3 linked regions of the Arabidopsis thaliana genome follow. The protein of the gene in region 3 interacts with the protein of the main gene of each other region in a pairwise test. Each region holds a gene or a part of one and is shown on either strand. Other genes may lie near its edges.

The links. Proteins that work in one complex are often made in the same cells at the same time.
Region 1: the proteins of DBP1 (region 3) and PIL1 interact in a two-hybrid assay, tested with the Arabidopsis thaliana proteins (one large-scale study listed by BioGRID).
Region 2: the proteins of DBP1 (region 3) and MBD6 interact in a two-hybrid assay, tested with the Arabidopsis thaliana proteins (one large-scale study listed by BioGRID).

The regions. Positions count from the first base shown.
Region 1 is NC_003071.7:19,292,927-19,300,467, reverse strand, and holds PIL1 (phytochrome interacting factor 3-like 1), read left to right. Parts: upstream 1-2,609; 5' UTR 2,610-2,789; coding exon 2,790-2,863; intron 2,864-2,930; exon of another isoform or gene 2,931-2,946; coding exon of another isoform or gene 2,947-2,954; exon of another isoform or gene 2,955-3,037; coding exon 3,038-3,572; intron 3,573-3,653; coding exon 3,654-3,761; intron 3,762-3,849; coding exon 3,850-3,915; intron 3,916-4,020; coding exon 4,021-4,086; intron 4,087-4,449; coding exon 4,450-4,851; 3' UTR 4,852-5,037; downstream 5,038-7,541. Other genes in the region: ASY3 (asynaptic protein), read left to right, coding at 38-172, 351-442, 538-600; CYP709B1 (cytochrome P450, family 709, subfamily B, polypeptide 1), read left to right, coding at 6,256-6,532, 6,632-6,858, 6,955-7,211, 7,297-7,541. UniProt on the Arabidopsis thaliana protein: Transcription factor. Involved in responses to transient and long-term shade. Required for the light-mediated inhibition of hypocotyl elongation. Necessary for rapid light-induced expression of the photomorphogenesis- and circadian-related gene APRR9.
Region 2 is NC_003076.8:23,949,521-23,956,211, forward strand, and holds MBD6 (methyl-CPG-binding domain 6), read left to right. Parts: upstream 1-2,611; 5' UTR 2,612-2,800; coding exon 2,801-3,109; intron 3,110-3,518; coding exon 3,519-3,641; intron 3,642-3,719; coding exon 3,720-3,965; 3' UTR 3,966-4,187; downstream 4,188-6,691. Other genes in the region: ACT4 (actin 4), read left to right, coding at 589-648, 740-1,133, 1,282-1,895, 2,001-2,066; AT5G59390 (XH/XS domain-containing protein), read left to right, coding at 5,414-5,783, 5,857-6,147, 6,254-6,435, 6,512-6,595, 6,681-6,691. UniProt on the Arabidopsis thaliana protein: Transcriptional regulator that binds CpG, CpNpN and CpNpG (N is A, T, or C) islands in promoters regardless the DNA methylation status. Plays probably a role in gene silencing. May associate with histone deacetylase proteins (HDAC).
Region 3 is NC_003071.7:10,902,216-10,909,645, reverse strand, and holds DBP1 (DNA-binding protein phosphatase 1), read left to right. Parts: upstream 1-4,378; 5' UTR 4,379-4,667; coding exon 4,668-4,850; intron 4,851-5,066; coding exon 5,067-5,273; intron 5,274-5,384; coding exon 5,385-5,596; intron 5,597-5,915; coding exon 5,916-6,492; 3' UTR 6,493-6,651; exon of another isoform or gene 6,652-6,769; 3' UTR 6,770-6,930; downstream 6,931-7,430. Other genes in the region: BGLU14 (beta glucosidase 14), read right to left, coding at 1-113, 165-1,286; AT2G25625 (histone deacetylase-like protein), read right to left, coding at 2,547-2,904, 2,984-3,084; AT2G25610 (ATPase, F0/V0 complex, subunit C protein), read left to right, coding at 7,005-7,273, 7,361-7,430.

The DNA of each region.
Region 1 (7,541 bases), 8.4 Mb from region 3:
CTATTGTGTTCACTGATAATATCTAATCGTCTAACAGAGCAAGAAGAGAAAATGAGAATGATCCATGAAAAGTTCAAGGACGATGTCAGCCATCATCTTGAAGATTTTAAGAGTACTATCGAAGAGCTTGAAGCAAACCAGTCAGAGCTGAAAGGAAGCATAAAGAAGCAAAGTATGTTAACTTCTGTAATTCCTGCTTTTACTACAACGAATTCTAACACTAGAAATACTTGAAACATATGATGTTATCAAAGTTAGATTCTTCATGGCAAGATAGTTTTAATATAATAATAGCAGGAGGACAAGTATTTCCTAAACTCACTTGATAACTTTTTATCTCTCTATGACAGGAACATCACACCAAAAACTCATTGCACATTTTGAAGGAGGCATCGAGACAAAACTGGACGATGCGACCAAAAGAATCGATTCTGTAAACAAGGCAAGTCATTGTTCTGCTTCTTAAGAGTCAGATTCTAAAAATGGTTAAATCATGAATTCAAAAGCACAACTTAAAAATGACGTATTGGTTTACAGTCTGCGAGAGGAAAGATGCTGCAGCTGAAGATGATTGTCGCAGAATGTTTGAGGGATGATTGACACTGAGTCTCACAGAATCAATCAACCACACGTACGTCGTTATTCTCCATTTTAAAACATAAACTAGACGAACTGTGTTAACCAGGAAAGAAAAACCTCTCAAGCAAAACCAGCCTTTGGTTTAGTGGTCTCATGAGTTCAGGCGAATAAAGAAGATATAGTAGATGATGCTTTGACTCATTGTCATTGATTCGTATTCGTATAGAATAGTTTATTGTTCACTGAACCACTACAAAACTACTTATATCATAGAGCCTTATTTTATATAGCAGTTTGAAGGTTTCTTTTTAATTTATTTTTGCCAGCAACTGCAGATATTTTTTATTAAACCAACAACTTTTAATTAGGTTATTGATATCTTGATATATATCGAAGCAAAACCAATCCAAACATTTTTCTTTTAAAAACCAGAATATTTTGCAGACGTTGATGTGAATTTTAATTACAATATTTTACTTTAACAGAGATGTATTTCATATTGAATATCAAAACCAAACTGAACAAAGAATGGTCACAATTCGATATCAATCGAATGAAACAGAAAATAAAATGTTGGACCCAACAATTTTACTGTGATGATAAAAACATGGTAGAGATAATTTTGTTTGTAAATAGAGAGATCTCAAATCACAGAGGATTCTTTTTTTACGGTCGGTAAAAGAATTTAGAATGTGTCGAGAGGGTAAAAATGGAGAAGACGACAAGATAGTAGCAGTCGTTAGAAACAAACAAGAAAGAAGGGAGGGAGACAAAATAACACAAAGGGGTGGATGAATCACGCGGCATTCACGTGAAGTGCACGTGAACTTGGCCAAAAAAAGCCTAATTGTGGGTCCCATTTAAAGAGAAAACTAAAGCCTTTAAGAAAGGGCCCATCCATATATGTCTTAATAATGGCGTGAAGGTTCTTTCCGCTCACGTGGGCCTTTTGTGCCCGTCTCTCTCGCATGTCACTCACTACAGTTTTACTAGTGTTTTGTTTTATTTTTGATAACAACATTATTGATTTTTTTTCGGTCTACCTAAGTTTTGACCTTTCTTTTTTAATTGTGAACAATTGAACATGCGTATTACTTATTGATAATACTTTTATCTTCAATAAAAAAAATAACACACGAACATAATATAGAAATAGTGTGTTCCAATACTGGAGATTATTTAGTAAGTTCAGTTGGACGCTTTGTCATTGCATAGTTTGGAATTTATTCCTAAACTTTCTAAGAACACGTTCTTATAGGAATTTGCATGACGAAAAAATCAATACTAGTTGCATTATTGTTGGAGCATCATCGGGAGTGATTTTTTTTGTGTTTTCCTATTTACTACATTGTGTTTTCCTGACCTTTTAAATAAAAAGGAAATACACAAAACCATATATAAATATATGTATATATATATCTGACTGTGCTCAAGTAAAATTCACGGATCAGACGTTAAAAAAATGATCATGCTTAATATTTTCTCATTTTAGATGAAGACAAAAAAAAAAAAAAGGAATTGCAATCGTAGATTTGACTTTATTTTTATTTAATTTTTCTATTCTTTTTCCGAAAGCAGAGAAAAATGGAGCGGTGGAGAGTAGAGAAGTCGGTCATAAGAATGTCTCTCTCTCTATTTCTTTGTCTTTCACTATCGCCCATACATTATCTTGCTTCTTTCATTTATTCCATCAATATTTTTGTTTTAAAATGAAAGATTTACACATTAACATGAATACTTATACTACTCTTTATCGCGTATATATAGTATAGTCTATGTTATTATGAATTTATGATTATATTTTTTCTATAAAACGTGCGAAAACTCATTTCACATATACAAACAAATATATACGTTTTGTATTAAAAAAAAGCAACTGTAAATTTTATAAATCTGAAATGTAACATTTGAAGTCGACCAAAGTTTGTAAGGTAATAATTTGTACTAATTCTCCATACTGTGTCATAATCACGATTCAAGGATAAATATATGAGTTGTGGACCAAAACAAATCCTCCATATCAATCAATCATAAATGAAATAAGCGAATATACATATATACAACCGACTATATATATATATATATGCTGCTCTTCATTAACCCCAAGAAAGAAAACCAAAGTGTGAAGTCCGAATCTCTCTGATTCTACAATTCACAAAAACCGGAAAAAAAAAAAGACAAGTAAAGAAAGCTTTGTTCAGTTTACTTCAATGGAAGCAAAACCCTTAGCATCATCATCATCTGAACCAAACATGATTTCTCCATCATCAAACATTAAACCAAAGTAAGTTTATTATGGTTTCATCTACACTTTTTGCGACTTCTATAAACATATACACATGCGTGGTTTTGAAATAATGGGCGCTTATGGTTCTGTCGGTGCTTGAAACAATTTTGTCTTCTCCTGACTATTTTTTTTTTGTTAATAGGTTATTTATACGTGACTCTTTTCTTGCAGATTAAAAGATGAAGATTATATGGAGCTGGTGTGTGAAAATGGGCAGATTCTTGCAAAGATTCGAAGACCAAAGAACAACGGTTCTTTTCAAAAGCAACGTAGGCAATCTCTCCTGGATTTGTATGAGACCGAGTACAGCGAGGGTTTCAAGAAAAACATCAAGATTCTTGGAGACACACAAGTTGTTCCGGTGAGTCAGTCTAAGCCACAACAAGATAAAGAAACCAATGAACAAATGAACAACAATAAGAAGAAGCTAAAGTCCTCCAAAATCGAATTTGAGAGAAATGTTTCGAAAAGCAACAAATGTGTTGAATCATCAACATTAATTGATGTTTCTGCTAAAGGTCCAAAGAATGTTGAAGTTACTACAGCTCCTCCTGATGAGCAATCTGCAGCTGTTGGTAGATCCACGGAATTGTATTTTGCTTCTTCATCGAAGTTTTCTCGAGGAACTTCGAGAGATCTAAGTTGTTGTTCTTTAAAGAGGAAGTATGGAGATATTGAAGAAGAAGAATCAACCTATTTAAGTAATGTAAGAGAAATTAATTAGCTGCTTGTCTTAGTTCTTTCACATGGTAGATCATTAATTGTCTTTTTCTTATTGCTTATGCAGAATTCAGATGATGAATCAGATGATGCGAAGACACAAGTTCATGCGAGAACAAGAAAGCCGGTGACTAAAAGAAAACGAAGCACAGAAGTCCATAAGTTATATGAAAGAGTGAGTTTATATGTATGAAAATTTCACCTTAGTTAGTAGAAAAAAAATAATGTATGAAAATTAATGCTAATTAAGGATTTGTTAACAGAAACGAAGAGATGAATTCAACAAGAAAATGCGTGCTTTGCAGGACCTACTACCAAATTGTTACAAGGTTTGAGATTAACTTAAATCACATTACATTGTTTACTTAGTCTTAGAGAGTTAATTAATTTTCTCTTTGTGGAGATTTCTGAATATCTGTAATTGTTGATGATAGGATGATAAGGCTTCATTGTTGGATGAGGCTATCAAATATATGCGGACCCTTCAACTTCAAGTTCAGGTATTCAAAATAATACACCAATTCAATAAAATTTCATTGAGAGATAATAAAATGATTCAGGTGTTAATTATTTAAACACAGACTTGTGTTTATATTTACATATAAATTTGTTTTTTAACATTAAAATATACTTTGTAAAGTGTTTTTGTTATCAAATATTATTGCGTTTGGCTTTTACCTTTACGAATGATTCTTGATAAAGTCACTAGAAACTAGTTTCATAAGAGAAACCAAAACAAATTATAAACGTAATTAAACACTAATCAATAAACAATCAAAAGTTTATTCCTTATTTATTTTACTACAAATTTTTTTACATATATATAAGATTCTTAATTAACATGCTCTAATAATTATTTACAGATGATGAGTATGGGAAATGGATTAATAAGACCACCTACGATGTTGCCAATGGGTCATTACTCTCCCATGGGTCTAGGAATGCATATGGGTGCAGCAGCAACACCAACATCAATACCGCAATTCCTGCCTATGAATGTTCAAGCAACCGGTTTTCCGGGGATGAACAATGCACCACCACAAATGCTAAGCTTTCTTAATCACCCAAGTGGACTAATTCCAAACACTCCTATCTTTTCTCCATTGGAAAATTGCTCTCAGCCATTCGTGGTGCCTTCGTGTGTTTCTCAGACTCAGGCTACTTCTTTTACTCAATTCCCAAAGTCTGCGTCCGCCTCAAACTTAGAAGATGCAATGCAATATAGAGGAAGCAACGGTTTTAGTTATTATCGCTCGCCAAACTAATGATTTGTAGAAAGTTGATGTTTTCTCCAACTAACTAACTTTAAGCAAAAAAAAATGATCGTCTACTCTGTGTTGTTAGTCTATGGGCTTTTGGGCCTTGATTCTTGGAACGATTTGAACTTAATTCCAACTATTTTCAAAGTGGATGTACAAAGTAAAATATAACAAATATAAGTTATCATAGACTCTATAACAAAGTTATAAGTAGAGGACGTGCAATTGCATAATGATGGATGATGATGAGTGTTCAATTACGATAAACCGATTTTAACGCAAACCCAACTAAGATGAAGACAACTCATTTGACCTAAATCGTAATTTGAAACGAATTTTGCCATGTTTTTGGGATTAAGGAACAATCTCAATGATGAGATTGAGTAAAGTACTACAAAACTTGGGCTTGATGGGCTTTTTAGTGGACTAATATCTACTTTATTCTTTCTTTTTTCAAACATTAAAAAATTAATTGGGCTTTTTCAAACACGAAAACAAGGGAGTGCAATAGTGTGATGAAGATGAGACTCACACATTGAATTTCTGATATTTTAGCGTCAGGTGCGTTGAAAACTTGAAATCAATGTGAAGATTCTCTTTTAAAAATAGATGACTCTTATTTCATGAGTTAACATGATACTTAAAGAAAGTGGATAGTTAAGTCTAAACCAATTCTTTTAGTATAGAAATAAAATTTCAACCACTTCCTTTAAATATGAAACCATGCAAAAGTAGATAACAAACGAAAAAGTGTTTCATTTTAAGATTCGATGTCACGATCCATCACATTGCACCGTTGGTTGATAAATATCTCTCATCTTTGTTTATTTATTTTCACAATGTTGTACTTCTATTTCTATAACATTTTCGTTTGAATTCAAATACCAAATTAACTCTCCAAACAATTAGTTCATCAAGTATTTTGTTCACAATGATATGTTAACAACAAATCATTGATTCATTGTCCATGCCGGATTATTTTAAAGATACAGAAACAGTAAACCTAAGATACAATGAATGCTAAAACTAAATTATTCTCCCAAAAGGATTACTTAGCTTTCATGAGTAATTTTATATTTTTCTTTTATCCACTCATTTTTTATATACTTTCTATAATTGTCTTATTACGTAACAAATATGTGCTATAGGCATATTTAGAATCTACTCTATCATCATACCATATATAAGACACATTTTACTTTATTAATTACTTTTTGTTTGTTCTCAAATTGAAAATAAACAGACGTGTTTGTGCTAACTTCATGTAGTGTTTAGATAGTGTTTCATTCACTGGCCATAGACTTATTTTACAAAGTTATATGTGCATGTCATTATATAGTGTAGAACTTAAAACACCTAACCAAGAACAACAATACACACACACAAACATAAGGAAAAAAAAACTTTTCCATGGGGCTCGTAATTTTCTTGGCACTAATTGTCTTAATCCTTATTATTGGTCTCAGGATATTCAAAGCTTTTATGATTCTTGTTTGGCATCCATTTGTGTTGACCAGAAGACTCAAAAACCAAGGAATCTCAGGCCCAAATTACAGAATCTTTTACGGAAACCTCAGCGAGATAAAGAAGATGAAGAGAGAATCTCATCTTTCGATTCTTGATCCTAGCTCCAATGATATTTTCCCTCGTATTCTTCCTCATTATCAAAAATGGATGTCTCAATACGGTGTCGTTTTCTCCAACTCTCTCTTTGTTCATCTTTTATTTTAGATTTTATTCGAGGATAATGCGTAACACACAAGTTATCTATGTTATATATTATTAGGAGAGACTTTTCTTTACTGGAACGGAACAGAGCCAAGGATATGCATCTCAGATCCTGAACTTGCAAAAACTATGTTGTCGAACAAGTTAGGTTTCTTTGTCAAATCAAAGGCAAGACCTGAGGCTGTTAAACTTGTCGGCTCCAAAGGACTTGTCTTTATCGAAGGTGCTGATTGGGTTCGCCATAGAAGAATCTTGAACCCTGCTTTCTCCATCGATAGGCTCAAGGTATTTTAATCCTTCTTTCTTAGCTTGACTTGAGAAATTAAACATTAGAGCCGAATAACTTAATTTTGGTTGTAAATTTCTCATTTTGTTGATCAGATCATGACGACCGTGATGGTTGATTGTACGCTCAAGATGTTAGAGGAGTGGAGAAAAGAGAGCACTAAGGAAGAAACAGAGCACCCGAAGATTAAAAAGGAAATGAACGAAGAGTTCCAAAGACTAACAGCTGATATAATAGCAACCTCTGCGTTTGGAAGCAGTTACGTCGAAGGAATCGAAGTGTTTAGATCACAAATGGAGCTTAAAAGGTGTTATACAACTTCTCTCAACCAAGTCTCTATCCCTGGAACTCAGTAAGTTAATCATTCTCCTACTTTCAGTTCTCAAACAAGATTCTTAGGTTTTGACATATATTGGTCTTGTTTCTTGTATTCTAAGGTACCTTCCTACGCCTTCGAACATTCGGGTATGGAAGCTGGAGAGGAAAATGGATAACTCAATTAAGAGAATTATAAGTTCGAGACTACAGTCAAAGTCAGATTATGGAGACGATCTTCTCGGAATCTTGTTGAAAGCTTACAACACTGAAGGGAAGGAACGGAAGATGAGCATCGAAGAGATCATACATGAATGCAGGACTTTCTTCTTCGGAGGTCACGAAACTACTTCGAATTTATTGGCAT
Region 2 (6,691 bases), on a different chromosome or scaffold from region 3:
ACAATTATTAAATATATCATCTTGATCTTTAATCAATCTCAGGACTCAATGACCGATATTTCAAAATCCCAATATTGAATAACGATTAATTAACAAAATAAAAAAATCAATAACGCTTCATCCGGAGAACCATGACGACCAAAACCTTAATTTTTGGGCATGTTGAACTTTCACGTATCCAAAAATAGGTGAACACATGTCGTCACCCTCTTAGATATAGGATTTAGCAAAAACTAATGGCCACGATCTGTTAAGAGTCAAGCGATAAAAAGCAAAGCTCCTTTCGTTTTTTCAGAAATTTTGAACCCATTCAAGTCGGGGCGTTGCAGGATCCGATTTCTCGTTTTGTTCTTCGTTAAAATTCACCAGGTGATAACCAAATACCCTTGTTTCTTGGTAACAATTTCGATTTTCTTGCATGGAAAAATGTCAAGAAAAATAGATTTTAGATAAATCAACTTGAATATGTAAGGCCATTTTCATTTAAAATGGCTTGTTGAATGAAAATTTCATGGGAACCGTTACATTATTTGCATATTACAATTGTTTGTTACCGGTCTTGATTCATATTCATATATAGATTGAAGAATGGCGGACGGTGAAGACATTCAACCGCTTGTTTGTGACAATGGAACTGGAATGGTTAAGGTAAAGTTTCTCTCTAAGACTCTTATTGCTATGTCACATATATATAAGGCTATGCCATAAACGACTACTCAAAAATATATCCCGTGCTTAGGCCGGATTCGCGGGTGACGATGCACCAAGAGCGGTTTTTCCGAGCATTGTAGGCCGTCCTCGCCACACGGGTGTGATGGTAGGGATGGGACAAAAGGATGCTTATGTTGGAGACGAGGCTCAATCAAAACGTGGTATCTTGACTCTGAAGTACCCAATTGAGCATGGAATTGTTAATAATTGGGATGACATGGAGAAGATTTGGCATCACACTTTCTACAATGAGCTTCGTGTTGCCCCTGAAGAACATCCGGTTCTCTTGACCGAAGCTCCTCTCAATCCGAAAGCTAACCGTGAGAAGATGACTCAGATCATGTTTGAGACATTCAATACTCCTGCTATGTATGTTGCCATTCAAGCTGTTCTCTCACTCTATGCCAGTGGCCGTACAACTGGTCAGTAACACACTTATATTTGTGTTGATCCAATCTATAACCAGTTTTTTTTCATGCTTGATTTTAAATAATATGAACTATTTTAAGGACTATTTGGTTATGCTTTTATGGACAACCCTAATTGGTTCTTTTGCAAATTATTGATTAGGTATTGTTTTGGACTCTGGAGATGGTGTGAGCCACACGGTACCAATCTACGAGGGTTACGCTCTCCCACACGCAATCCTACGTCTTGACCTAGCAGGTCGTGACCTCACGGACCACCTCATGAAAATCCTCACAGAGCGTGGATACTCCTTCACCACAACTGCTGAACGTGAAATTGTTAGAGACATGAAAGAGAAGCTCTCTTACATTGCTCTAGACTTCGAGCAAGAGCTAGAGACTTCCAAAACAAGCTCGTCCGTTGAGAAAAGCTTCGAGCTTCCTGATGGACAAGTGATAACCATTGGAGCAGAGAGGTTCCGGTGTCCGGAAGTTCTGTTCCAGCCGTCAATGATCGGAATGGAAAATCCAGGAATCCATGAAACCACATATAACTCTATCATGAAATGTGATGTGGATATTAGGAAAGACTTGTATGGTAACATTGTGCTAAGTGGTGGAACCACAATGTTTGGAGGGATTGGTGATAGAATGAGCAAAGAGATTACGGCTTTGGCTCCAAGTAGTATGAAGATTAAGGTCGTGGCTCCACCGGAGAGGAAGTACAGTGTATGGATCGGTGGCTCTATATTGGCTTCACTCAGCACTTTCCAGCAGGTGAACACATTAATATACATTTTTATTATTATTTGATCATGTATAATATAACATTCATAAGTTTGTTTTGATATAAATATTGGTATGTGTTTGAAAACTTGACAGATGTGGATTGCGAAAGCAGAGTACGATGAATCTGGACCCTCAATAGTGCATAGGAAATGCTTCTAATCACAGTTCCTAAGATCACCAAACGAAGACGGAAGTAAAAGTAAAAGACAGAAGGTTAAAAACATTGAGATTACTACCAAATGCCACATTTTTCCATTATATTTTCTAATCTCTCTTTTATCCTTTTTTTTTTGAATAGCCTCTCTATGTTAATTTTTCAACTAAGCATACTTTTCTTTAAACAATTTCCACTCCCAATGTACTATATATAAGCGACTAATTTCAATTATTATATTTTCTATTTTAAACTTAATTTATTTGTTACTCAAAAGAGATTTTGTGATGGTTAAACAATTGTGACTAATATACTTCAAAGACATCCGTATCAAACACAAAACAAGCTCCATAATGTTGATCTAGTACAAACAATTGTGACATATAAATGCATATTGTCGAAACTCACTAAATCTTAGATTACTCGGTTAAATGGATGTGGTCTAATAAGTGTCAATAAACACAACACAAAATGTTAAACTGATGGATTAGTGATGAGAAGATGAGTTTAAATGTTTCATTTAGTAATAAAACGTGTTTATTATGTTTGTTGGTAAAGAAAAGAAGAAACGAATTGTTGATGGTTAACTAAATTTTAATTTCTTATTCGATCTCGGTTTAACCGAACCGAATCGTAAACCCAGAAACAGAAGCTGCGACGGAGAATCCATTTCTCGAGATCGTCGCCGTTAAAATCTGCGATCTCATTGCTCATTGGTGAAGACAAATCCCTAATTCGTATGTCAGATTCTGTGGCCGGCGATTTCCCTCCCGATCCACTTCTCGCCTCCGGAGCCTTCATCTCCTCCGCCGGTGACGGAACCCTAGACAGTAGTGCGAAACGACGACCGATTCAGGGAGGAATCGGAATTTCTGGTTCGGGAGAGAGCGTACGCATCGGGATGGCTAACGGCACTGATCAGGTGAATCATCAGACGGAATCGAAGTCGCGGAAGCGTGCGGCGCCTGGAGATAATTGGTTGCCTCCTGGTTGGAGAGTTGAAGATAAGATTCGAACTTCCGGTGCCACAGCTGGTTCGGTGGATAAGGTAAAGAATCTCAGCTTGACTCTGCTTTTCTCTATGAAGTTTTGAGCTGCGTTGTTGCTTGAAGACTACAAATTGAGGATTCTTTGATTGCTGTTGTTTTGTTCTCTTTGGTTTAAAAATCTTGCCTTTAAAGTAGTGACAAGTGTAATGATGTAGTAAAATGATGTGGTTGGTTCTGCTTAAGCATTAATGAGTTTGTTTAGATTATGTTAATGGTGTATTGGGACTTGAATCATACACTTTATCAGTGTGATTAGTGTTACTTTGATTTATCAGGTGGATTTAGATGGTTTGGTTTGGTATATATTGTGATTGAAGAGATGAAGTTTTGGTGTTGTTATACTCGATGCTAATATGGGTGTAGATATTGATGTGTAGACTTGTGACATTTTCTTATCTGGTTTTGCAGTACTATTACGAACCAAATACAGGACGTAAGTTTCGGTCCAGGACTGAGGTGCTGTACTACTTGGAACATGGAACTTCTAAAAGAGGCACCAAGAAAGCTGAGAATACATATTTCAATCCAGACGTGAGTTTACATGCTTAAAGATTAAACCTTTCACCCTGGTTTCAAACCTGTGATGTGTATTGAATTTTGCATTTGCAGCATTTTGAAGGCCAAGGAAGCAATAGAGTCACCAGAACCGCTACAGTGCCTCCACCTCCGCCACCGCCATTGGACTTTGATTTTAAGAATCCACCAGACAAGGTAAGCTGGTCTATGGCAAACGCAGGAGAAGAAGGTTGGATACCTAATATTGGGGACGTCAAGGTTCAAGACTCAGTGAGACGAGATTGGAGCACTGCGTTTACCTTTATCACAAGCCGAAACCCTAGTAAAGTGTCGGCTTGAAGACTATGATGACCTGGTGGCGATTTTTGGGTTGTTGCATCTATGGTAAGATACACAGATATGTTAGGGTTACTTAATTGGATAATTCTTGTTTAGTCTTCATTCATCAATCATCAAGTTATGTGTACTATAATTTTTGTAGCGGTTTTTGGAAGAATATGATAAGGGGATATGCATCTTTGTGTTTGCTTTTGGAACGTGATAACCATTCGACTTTTGACTGATGAAATTGAAGACACTGTCGTAGTAACAAAGCTATTCTTCTTAGACATTTTGATACTGAACTATTCTGTGTTCCAAAGTCTTTTACTTTGTGTTTAGGAAAAGATCTTGTTCTTTGTGAAACCAGTGTCGTAATTCAAGAACTAATGCTTGACATGTCTCACCTGCTCAGGTTATCTAAATCTAATGGATAAGAAGAAACATCAACAATACTGCACTGATACAAGACAAGAAGCGTCTGTAGTCCAACGGTTAGGATAATTGCCTTCCAAGCAATAGACCCGGGTTCGACTCCCGGCAGACGCAATTATATTTTTCCCAAACATAATTTTAGATTTTGTTAACCAAACAATTTGTGGGGTTCGAATGTAACTGGTTGTAGCACATTTAATATCTGCAATAAATTATCAAAAAGGCCATTGGAACTCTCCCAACCCATCGTCTAATTTAGTAATTTTTGGTCTTGTAACCTTCTAGGTGTACCAGAGGCTTCCTTATTAGTCTTGTATCCCAAGCTTTTGAAAAAAAGTGAAACGAAAAGGTTTTAAGTTTTGTTGGCTTTTGACTATCATTTCCCCTCTCTGTTTATTAAAATTTACAGTATTGCCACTGAGTTTGCTGCGACGGTCTGTCTCTTCAAAAAGCAATTTTGGGGAGGAAGAGAAAACCTTAAGAGTCAAACGGAAAAAAAACACACACTATTTTTGTGATTCACCAAGCAGAAGAAAATTGAGAAAAAAAAAAGGTCTCTGCTTTTTATTTTCCATGGCTTAGACTCTCATTTTTATTGGGAATTTGGATGGTCTAAAGTCAGGATTTGCTTTATTTTGCTTGCAAGGTTTTGTAAAAGAACACTTTTTCTCGGTTCTTCATCCGTACACGTAACAAATCCATTTCTTATGTGTTTTTTCGATTTCTAGAATCTGTAAAACCCACAAAAAAGAGGTTTTTTTTTTTGTTTCTGGGTTCTTTGAAGAAGCAGAGAGAAGATAAGCTCTTTACAGTTTTCTTCATAACAAGTGATTTCCTTTTGTTTTCTTATTCGATTTCCAGTTTCTATATGTTACATAAATTTGATTTTTAACTCTGAATCATATACATTACTCAAAACCTTAAAAAGGTTTCTTTTTTGTTTGTCTAGGTTGTTCAAAACTTGATCTTTCAGTAGCTAAATATATGGATCCTCTATAATCTCATTTGTAAAGCTCTTTTATTGCAGCTTTAAGATGGAGAAAAATCAACAAAAGCAGGAATTTCTAGCTGAGACCTCAGAGATGAAGAACACCAAAAACAACGACGACTGTTCTGTACAACAACAACAACGATTTGTGTGGCCATGGGTTGGTCTAGTAGCCAACATACCAACGGAGGTGGAACCATCGGGTCGGAGAGTAGGCAAAAGCGGTTCAACGTTACGTGATGAGTTCACTATGAAAGGGTTTAATCCAACAAGAGTCCAACCCATTTGGGATTTCAAGGGTCATTCTGGTTTTGCTTTGGTTGAATTCGCTAAAGACTTTGAAGGATTCGAAAGCGCCATGAATTTCGAAAGGAGTTTTAATTTAGACCGTCATGGGAAGAGAGATTGGGAAAAAGGTAAAACATTGTTTCAGAGTTTTTAAAGTCATTTGCTTTCTTGACATTGATGAGTTCACTTTCTTTGTAAAAGGTCATCGCTTGAGAGACAATAAGCTCTATGGATGGGTTGCCAGAGAGGATGATTATAATCGAAGTGATACTGTTGGGAAGAACGTCAAGAAGAAGAGAGATTTGAAAAGTATCTCTCAGATTGTGGAGGAAGACGAGAGGAAAATGGTTCATCTTGTTGAGAATATGTCTCAAACCATTGAGAAGAAGAAGCAAAGTAAACAAGAGCTTGAACAGAAAGTTGATGAGACTTCTCGTTTCTTGGAGAGTTTGGAATTGCATAACGTTCTGTTAAACAAAAACTACCAAGAAGGTAAAATAGAAGCACTTGAATAAGCTTTAAAAACATAATCTGTTTTGTGTTTCATGCTGACATGTATAGTCCTTTTGGTTTGTTTGTGTGTTATTGTGATGAGAAGGGTTTCAGAAGATGCAGATGAAGATGGAAGAGTTGTATCAACAGGTTCTGGATGGACATGAAAAGTCTTTGGCAGAACTGGAGGCAAAGAGGGAGAAGCTTGACGAGCGTGCAAGACTGATCGAGCAACGGGCTATCATAAACGAAGAAGAGATGGAAAAGTCCAGACTTGAAAGAGAAATGGTGATTATGCTTTCCTTACAAAGTAGGAGAAAAAGATCACAAGGCAATAAAATCTTTGTTGTTGTTGTTGTTGTAGAATCAAAAGGCTATGTGTGAGCAGAATGAAGCGAATGAGGAAGCTATGAAGCTTGCAGAAAAGCACCAGGCAAGTAGTTCGTTAGTGTTTCTGTATATATTCATGAACAAGTAATAACTAAGCTTCCATTTCCAACTTTTGAGTTCCTGAACTATGACAACTTTTGCAGAAAGAGAAGGA
Region 3 (7,430 bases):
CCATCTTTAAGTAAGATTTTACCAGTGCTAGCTTCATCTCTCCCATTTTCTGTTATGTACATGACAGGGTCTTTGAACTTGTATTTTGCATAGAGGATAAGATCACGAATTCCCTTTGGATATATCAAAAGTCAATCTGATGCAGCTTTTGGACCAATGGGAACTCCATCTCTTTCGCCTGTGACGCTAGCACAAGGATCAGAGAACATTGTAACGTTTTCGCTTGAGCAAGGAACATCTTTTGCATAAGAAGACGAGTAATAATTGATGCCAATGAAATCATATGATCCCTTAAGCATGTTAGATTGTTTTGAAGTAAATGTAGGCAAGCGACCGCCTTTTACGTTGTTAACCATGTCAACCGGGTATTTACCGGTCACGAGCGGCTCCATGAAATAGTCGAATGTGAAAGCCATGGCTCGTGCCGCGGCTAACCTATCCTCAGCTGATTCTGTATAAGGTAAGTTCCAACCTGCATTCAAAGCTATACCGACTTGACCTTTTTGAGAAGCCTTATACTTTTTTCTATAGACTTTGATTGCTTCTCCGTGAGCTAGGATAAGGTTGTGACCAACGATATAAGGCTCGGTGGCTCCATTCCCGGCGGTGCAGTTAGGGTTTGTAAATTTTGAACACCTTCCTGGAGCCATAACACCTGCAACATATCCTTGTTGCACCACTGTTAATGGCTCGTTCAATGTAATCCAATGTTTCACTCGATCTCCAAAGCTCTTGAAACAAATATCGGCATAGTCGCGAAAATCATTAACAATTTCTGCCCCACGGAATCCTCCGTAAGCATCTTCAAGGTCTTGTGGTGTGTCCCAATGGAAAATGGTTGCGAAAGGCTTAATTCCTTTAGACAAAAGCTCATTGATCAAGTTGTTGTAATAGTCAATACCAGCTTGGTTGATTCCTCCTTTAAGATTCCCACGAGGCAAAATACGCGACCACGAGATGGAGAATCTATAGGCATTGAACCCAATTTGATGCAATAAACCCACATCCTCCTTGTAAAGATGGTAAGAGTCATCTGCAATAGATCCGTTGCTACCATCTTTTATCTTTTCTGGGTATTTTTCAGAAAACGTATCCCATATACTAGGTCCTCTACCATCTTCCTGAGCAGCTCCTTCAACTTGGTACGCAGAGGTTGCAGCTCCGAAAATGAAATCTTCTGGGAAATCAGTTTTTCTTAATTTAGGTGTTGAAGAGTGTCTCTTGGCAACAACTTCATTGGAAGCCAAGATGATGAACACTAGTACGGAGAAATATTTACTTGTCATTCTAAATTTTTCTTTTGATTATTGAATCTTTGTTTGTTGTAATATAATGAATTATGTCTAGAGTTATATAGGCAAGAGATTTGTTTTTACATTGGGTATGTGAATCTATAAATAGAGAAATGTAAGATAGAGATGGTGTAACAAATCTTTTAATTTTTACTTGTCCATAATTAGTGAATAGAAGACTATTGAAATGATCTTATCTAGTTGTCTTTCTAGTAGGAAAAAATTAGAAACACACTTGTAAATATTTTCCTTTTTCTTGTAACTACTTTTTTTATCCAACAATTTTGTAAATTCCCAAAATAATTCAAATAACTCTCTCAAGACTCCATTATAAACTATTCTTTTTTTTGTTAAATCCATTATAAACTATTCACAATGATCTTAACTAGTTATCGTCTTTATGATTTATGTCTCGAGAGAGTTATTTGAAATATCTAAGAAATTTACAAAAAAAAATGTTTTCTGTAAGTTTCAAACTAGTTTTAGAAAATCGTGAGTGTGGATTTGCATAAGATGATCAAGCTGTGTCCATTTTCTTGTTAACGTAGGTCTCTTATTGCAAAACCAATTTTTTCTTCTTCTTCTCTTCATGCTACGAGTCTTTTCTCTCTCGCTAAGGCTAATCTCCCTTTATTCTCTCACCATTCTTGTAAAAGCAAAGAACATGAGCATCAAGAAATTAAATTATTGAAGGTCCGACATGGAAGTGAAATTTGTAGAGTTGTAGTTAAACTTTGAAATACGAGGCCGAAATCAAACTAATCGTTGGAGTGACATAGAGTTGGGCTTCACTTTGGATCGATAATAGGCCAACTCATTTCAGTAGGAAGTACTTGGAGTGTTTTTCTTTTGTACTACACGCATGTACTACTTTTCTTTCATTTCACATCCAATAGAGTACTACTTTAACACACAAAGCTGAAAACTCCCAAAATTTGGTAGGATACAAGATTACAAAACAAAGAAAAAAAGGACGGACCAAAACTAATCGTGCACATAAAGATCTCAATGAATTTAATGAGTTAATTATTTTTATACGGTTCGATTTAAACCAAAAATCAAAAATGGCATCCTCAAAGAAAATTTTGCATGAATTAAAGACCAGTTTGGTTCAATGTTTTGTCATCAGTAACTACACAAACAAATACTTAAAATTTAATATATCTACAATAGTTTTTGTGTGTATTATTTGTTTCTAATTGACTTTTTTTACACCTGCCTAACAATCTCCCTTACACGTAATGAACTTCCAATTTACACGGAGAAACAACCACCCCTGTTGACACGTGTCATCACCACACCGACCGGCGGTGCATCACCCTTAGCTAATCCGGCTAACTCCAAACGTCGATGAGCAGACGGACGAGGAAGATTCTCCGGTACGATGGTCTCTAGCGAGTTCTCAAGCCAAGGCGGACACGTCCTCTTGTCACTCCACCTCCGCGGCGGCACCACACCCGCAGCCATCTCTTCTACCGGCGATTTCACAACCGCAGCTTCCACTGATGCAACATCATTGATCTGAATCCCGCCGATTACGACAGTTGCCGCCACCCCCAAGACAAAAGAACACTTGTTTTTCCGTGGCTCTGTCTCATTTTCTGTTCTCCTACTAAACAATAAAAGAACAAAGATCATTGATATGAAAAATTATCAGGTAAATAATAACTTTTCATGAATAGAAGAGATACCAAGAGATCTTTGACGTTGTCTTGAGCAGTGAAGCTAATGATTGTGCAGAATTTGAATCTAGGGGAGGAAGATTTAGACAGCAGCTTATTCTCCCTGCCATTGTTATTCCTCTGTTTTCGTTTCCTTCTTTTTCTTAAGAATCCACCTAGAACAAATTTTATTTTATTCCTTTCACCTCCAACATATATATAACTACTAACCCATTCTTACTTGGGTCACTCATTTTTTCTTACTATATATGTATCCTCAAATTATTACATTTCATATGCGCATGCAATACAAACCACATCTAAATTTTTCTTCCAATATGTTCTTTCTCTATACTTAACTAAAGCCCAAAGAATGAACTTAACCTAGAAAAGATGGACTTGACCCAATAGCATTGGTCCGTTGGAGATGTTAGGTCCATACTCCATACAAAGACAAATTGAACAAAAGTCGTGAATCTGTTTGCTACGTCTGAATAACAACGTACACGTATCACGCCTTGCGAACAAATTATTTGACAATGATGGCCAATTAGCATGTGTCATCACTTGTTACCACGTCAACAAGGTTCTTGTCGGTCCGTTTAATTAATAGTAACCATCGTTTTCAGGAAAAAAATCCACATAAAAAGTTTCTAATGGCGAAACAATATTCAAATATTTCCTAACAACTACCATGAGACTGATTCTTTTTCTCTTCCGAAAAATTAATGAGACTGAGTCCTAATTTTTCTTATAGTTAATTTGGTGACCATCAAAGAATGTAAAAGTATTTAGGAAACAGCACAAATAATCTGGCAATTACGGTCTACAACATGTTTATTTACTTATTTTTAAATTATAGAAAAATTTAATATTTTAATATCTTATATTTAATGCCCTAAATAACACTAAATCACACATATAAATAGCAGAGATATAAATATAGAAAAACATTCCAAGCATTTTTCAGTACTTAACATTTATACAGAAAAACAATTAAACATTTTTCAGCACTTAATAATTAACATATGTGAGAAATTCATAAACTCTATTAAATATTCATGAAAATAATGTATTTTTAATTTTATAAGTAATATCTCATGTGTCGACTTTTTTTATATAAAAAAGATGTAAAAAAGGTCCCAAGTTACTAAAATTCAATTTTGTCAACTTAACTCAAAATCTTTTTGCTATTAGTCTAAAATTTCAGATTTCCTTTCTTGCTATTTTTCAAAATACTATGTTTACTTCTCATATAAACTGTAAATATATCCCTTTTTTAATAAGAAAAAAAATCTCTCACTTCAAAAACAAAAAGGAAAAAAAAAAGCAAAGAGAAAAAGTAAATAATACGCCGACGTTTCGTGTTTATGTTAAGCTTCCTTTTTCCTTTTTCCTTTTTCTTTTTGCCTTTTAAATAACCGTCGGACTCATATTTCTCGCCTCCGCCGGCGAACAGTTTTATTATCTCTCTCTTTCTGCGTGTTCCAATTTCTTCCACAAAACCCTAATTTTCTCTTAAACCCTGAAATTCGTGTAACCTTTCAACAATCTCTTCAATTTTGTTTTCGATTCTGAATCCATTGTTTACGAATCTCTCATCTAAAGCTACATTCTTCGTTAAATCGTTTTTAATCGACTCGCTCACTCGTGAGTTGACTCGTCAGCTGTTTCCATAATTGCTTATTGAATTTTTATACGATGATGTTTCAATATGGAAGAAACTAGAGGAATTTCTGATCCAGAGAATGGGAGTTCGAGTTACGGCGGTAAACCGCCGAATCCACTCTCCTTCTCTTCTTCCTCCGCCGCTGCTGCCGTTTACAGGCAAACCTTCGACGGCGAGCGATCGTTGGCGCCGTGTAATAAGAGGTCACTGGTTCGACACTCATCTCTCGTAAGATTCGTTTCTCTTCAACTTGATTTGTGGATCAGTTAGGTTTATTTTGTGTATTGAATGATCAATTTAAGTTGAGGTTTTGTAATTATTGCTCTGCTTTTGGATTTGATCATTATTGGTTTCCTAATGTGTATAATTAAGGTAGAAAGTTTCTGTTTTTAATGTGTCATTATGAGATGTTTGAGGTTTTCTGATTGATTTTCATTTTGGTAGGTGAAGACAATGGTGTCAGATATATCTGTTGAGAATGAGTTTACTATAGAGAAGAACAAGTCTGAGTTTGTTCCTGCTACGCGTTCTGGAGCTTGGTCTGATATTGGCTCCAGGTCAAGCATGGAAGATGCTTATCTATGCGTTGATAATTTCATGGATAGCTTTGGCCTTCTGAATTCTGAGGCTGGTCCAAGTGCCTTCTATGGGGTATGTTCTTTCTTCAGTTTTCCTGATTTTTTGTAGATTTGTAGCATAAGCAAACAACTGTGAATGTAGTGAAAATATGGGGATCTCTTATTGAATTTTGTTTGTTATTAGGTATTTGATGGACATGGTGGGAAGCATGCCGCTGAGTTTGCATGTCACCATATACCGAGGTACATTGTTGAAGATCAAGAGTTTCCTAGTGAAATCAATAAGGTGTTATCTTCAGCATTTCTTCAAACAGACACTGCCTTCTTAGAGGCGTGTTCATTGGATGGGAGCCTTGCTTCAGGAACTACTGCTTTGGCAGCTATTCTTTTTGGAAGGTTTGTTGATTCAACTCTTATTATCTTTTAGTTTTGTCTAACCTAAACTCTTACATCTTGGTTATGTTAAAGAAAAACGTGTTTGGGAATAGATGCTTATCCTCAACTGCGTAGTGTGCATAATCTTGACCTTTAACACAATCATGTACAACTAATTCGCCTGTAGATGTATTCTCTGCCCATATGTGCTGCTGCTATAATGTAGTTATTGTCTCATATGGTCTTTGAGTCACGTATATACTTGCTCATTTCATACTCTATTAGTATTCTGGTATGAAACCGTTTGGTACCGTGTTAACATATAGTTTTGTGGTAACAGGTCGTTGGTGGTAGCAAACGCTGGAGATTGCAGAGCAGTCTTATCCCGTCAGGGAAAAGCCATTGAAATGTCAAGAGACCACAAACCCATGAGCAGTAAGGAAAGGAGACGCATTGAAGCATCGGGTGGACATGTATTCGATGGCTATCTAAATGGACAACTTAATGTGGCTCGAGCGCTAGGTGACTTTCATATGGAAGGCATGAAGAAGAAGAAAGATGGTTCTGATTGTGGACCTCTAATTGCAGAGCCTGAGCTCATGACAACAAAACTAACAGAAGAGGATGAGTTCCTTATAATTGGGTGTGACGGGGTTTGGGATGTGTTCATGAGCCAGAATGCTGTAGATTTTGCCAGAAGGAGACTACAGGAGCACAATGACCCGGTCATGTGTAGTAAGGAGCTGGTTGAGGAAGCTTTGAAGAGGAAGAGTGCTGATAATGTGACGGCAGTGGTTGTGTGTCTTCAGCCACAGCCACCACCGAACTTGGTAGCGCCGAGGTTGAGAGTTCACAGAAGCTTCTCGGCGGAGGGTTTAAAAGATTTACAGAGCTACTTGGATGGCTTGGGAAACTAATTGGGGGACATGAGGATGGTGACGAATGATTGATTTCTCTGTTTTTGTTTTGTCTTTTCTTACAATTTTATAGTTTGGGGTTTGGAGGTTTTGTTCTGTTAAATTCTCGCAATTTGAGTAAGTTATAACATGAGGCGGCATACAATAATTTATTGTTTGGTAGGATATATTTTTTTGTCACTTTTGCATAATAATAATTCTGCTTCAGTCTCATTTGTTTTGTAACTAGAAAGTTATTCCAATTCCTGCGTTTACCGAATATGTTGTGTTCTTGCAGAATGACGTATGTTAGATATGCAGTAAACTCGAGGGTCGGCTTTGACCACATCGCCACTTATCGGTTTGCGGATGCTGGAAAAGTCAGTCTAGTGATGAGGCTGAGTGAGCCATCGTCAGTTACTATTTTATCGTGAAACTCTGAACAACGAGATTGTCCCGGATATTCAAATGAGGAACAAGGCCCAATAGTCCGATCAAAGTGGGCTATTCGTATCGCTTACGAGGCCTATACGATGGTAATTGAATTCACGCGCATTCATCAGCGCGTGATTTGGAGTTGCTCAATTTCAGATCGCACAGGCTCTGTTAATCATCTCCTCCTCCGAAAGACAGAGAAAGAGACAAATCAAATTCATTCATATCAAAGAGATAGAGAGAAAATGTCCGGTGTGGCTATTCATGCGAGTTCATGGGGCGCGGCTCTGGTGAGAATCTCCCCGTACACTTTCTCCGCCATCGGAATCGCCATCTCCATCGGCGTCTCTGTTCTTGGTGCTGCCTGGTATAAATCCTTTTCTTCTTCTCCCCATTGATTTGCGAAATCATCATGCTTACGAAAACTATTTTGCTCTCTCTCTTTATGGTTTAGGGGAATTTACATTACCGGAAGTAGTTTGATCGGTGCCGCCATTGAAGCTCCTCGAATCACTTCCAAGAAT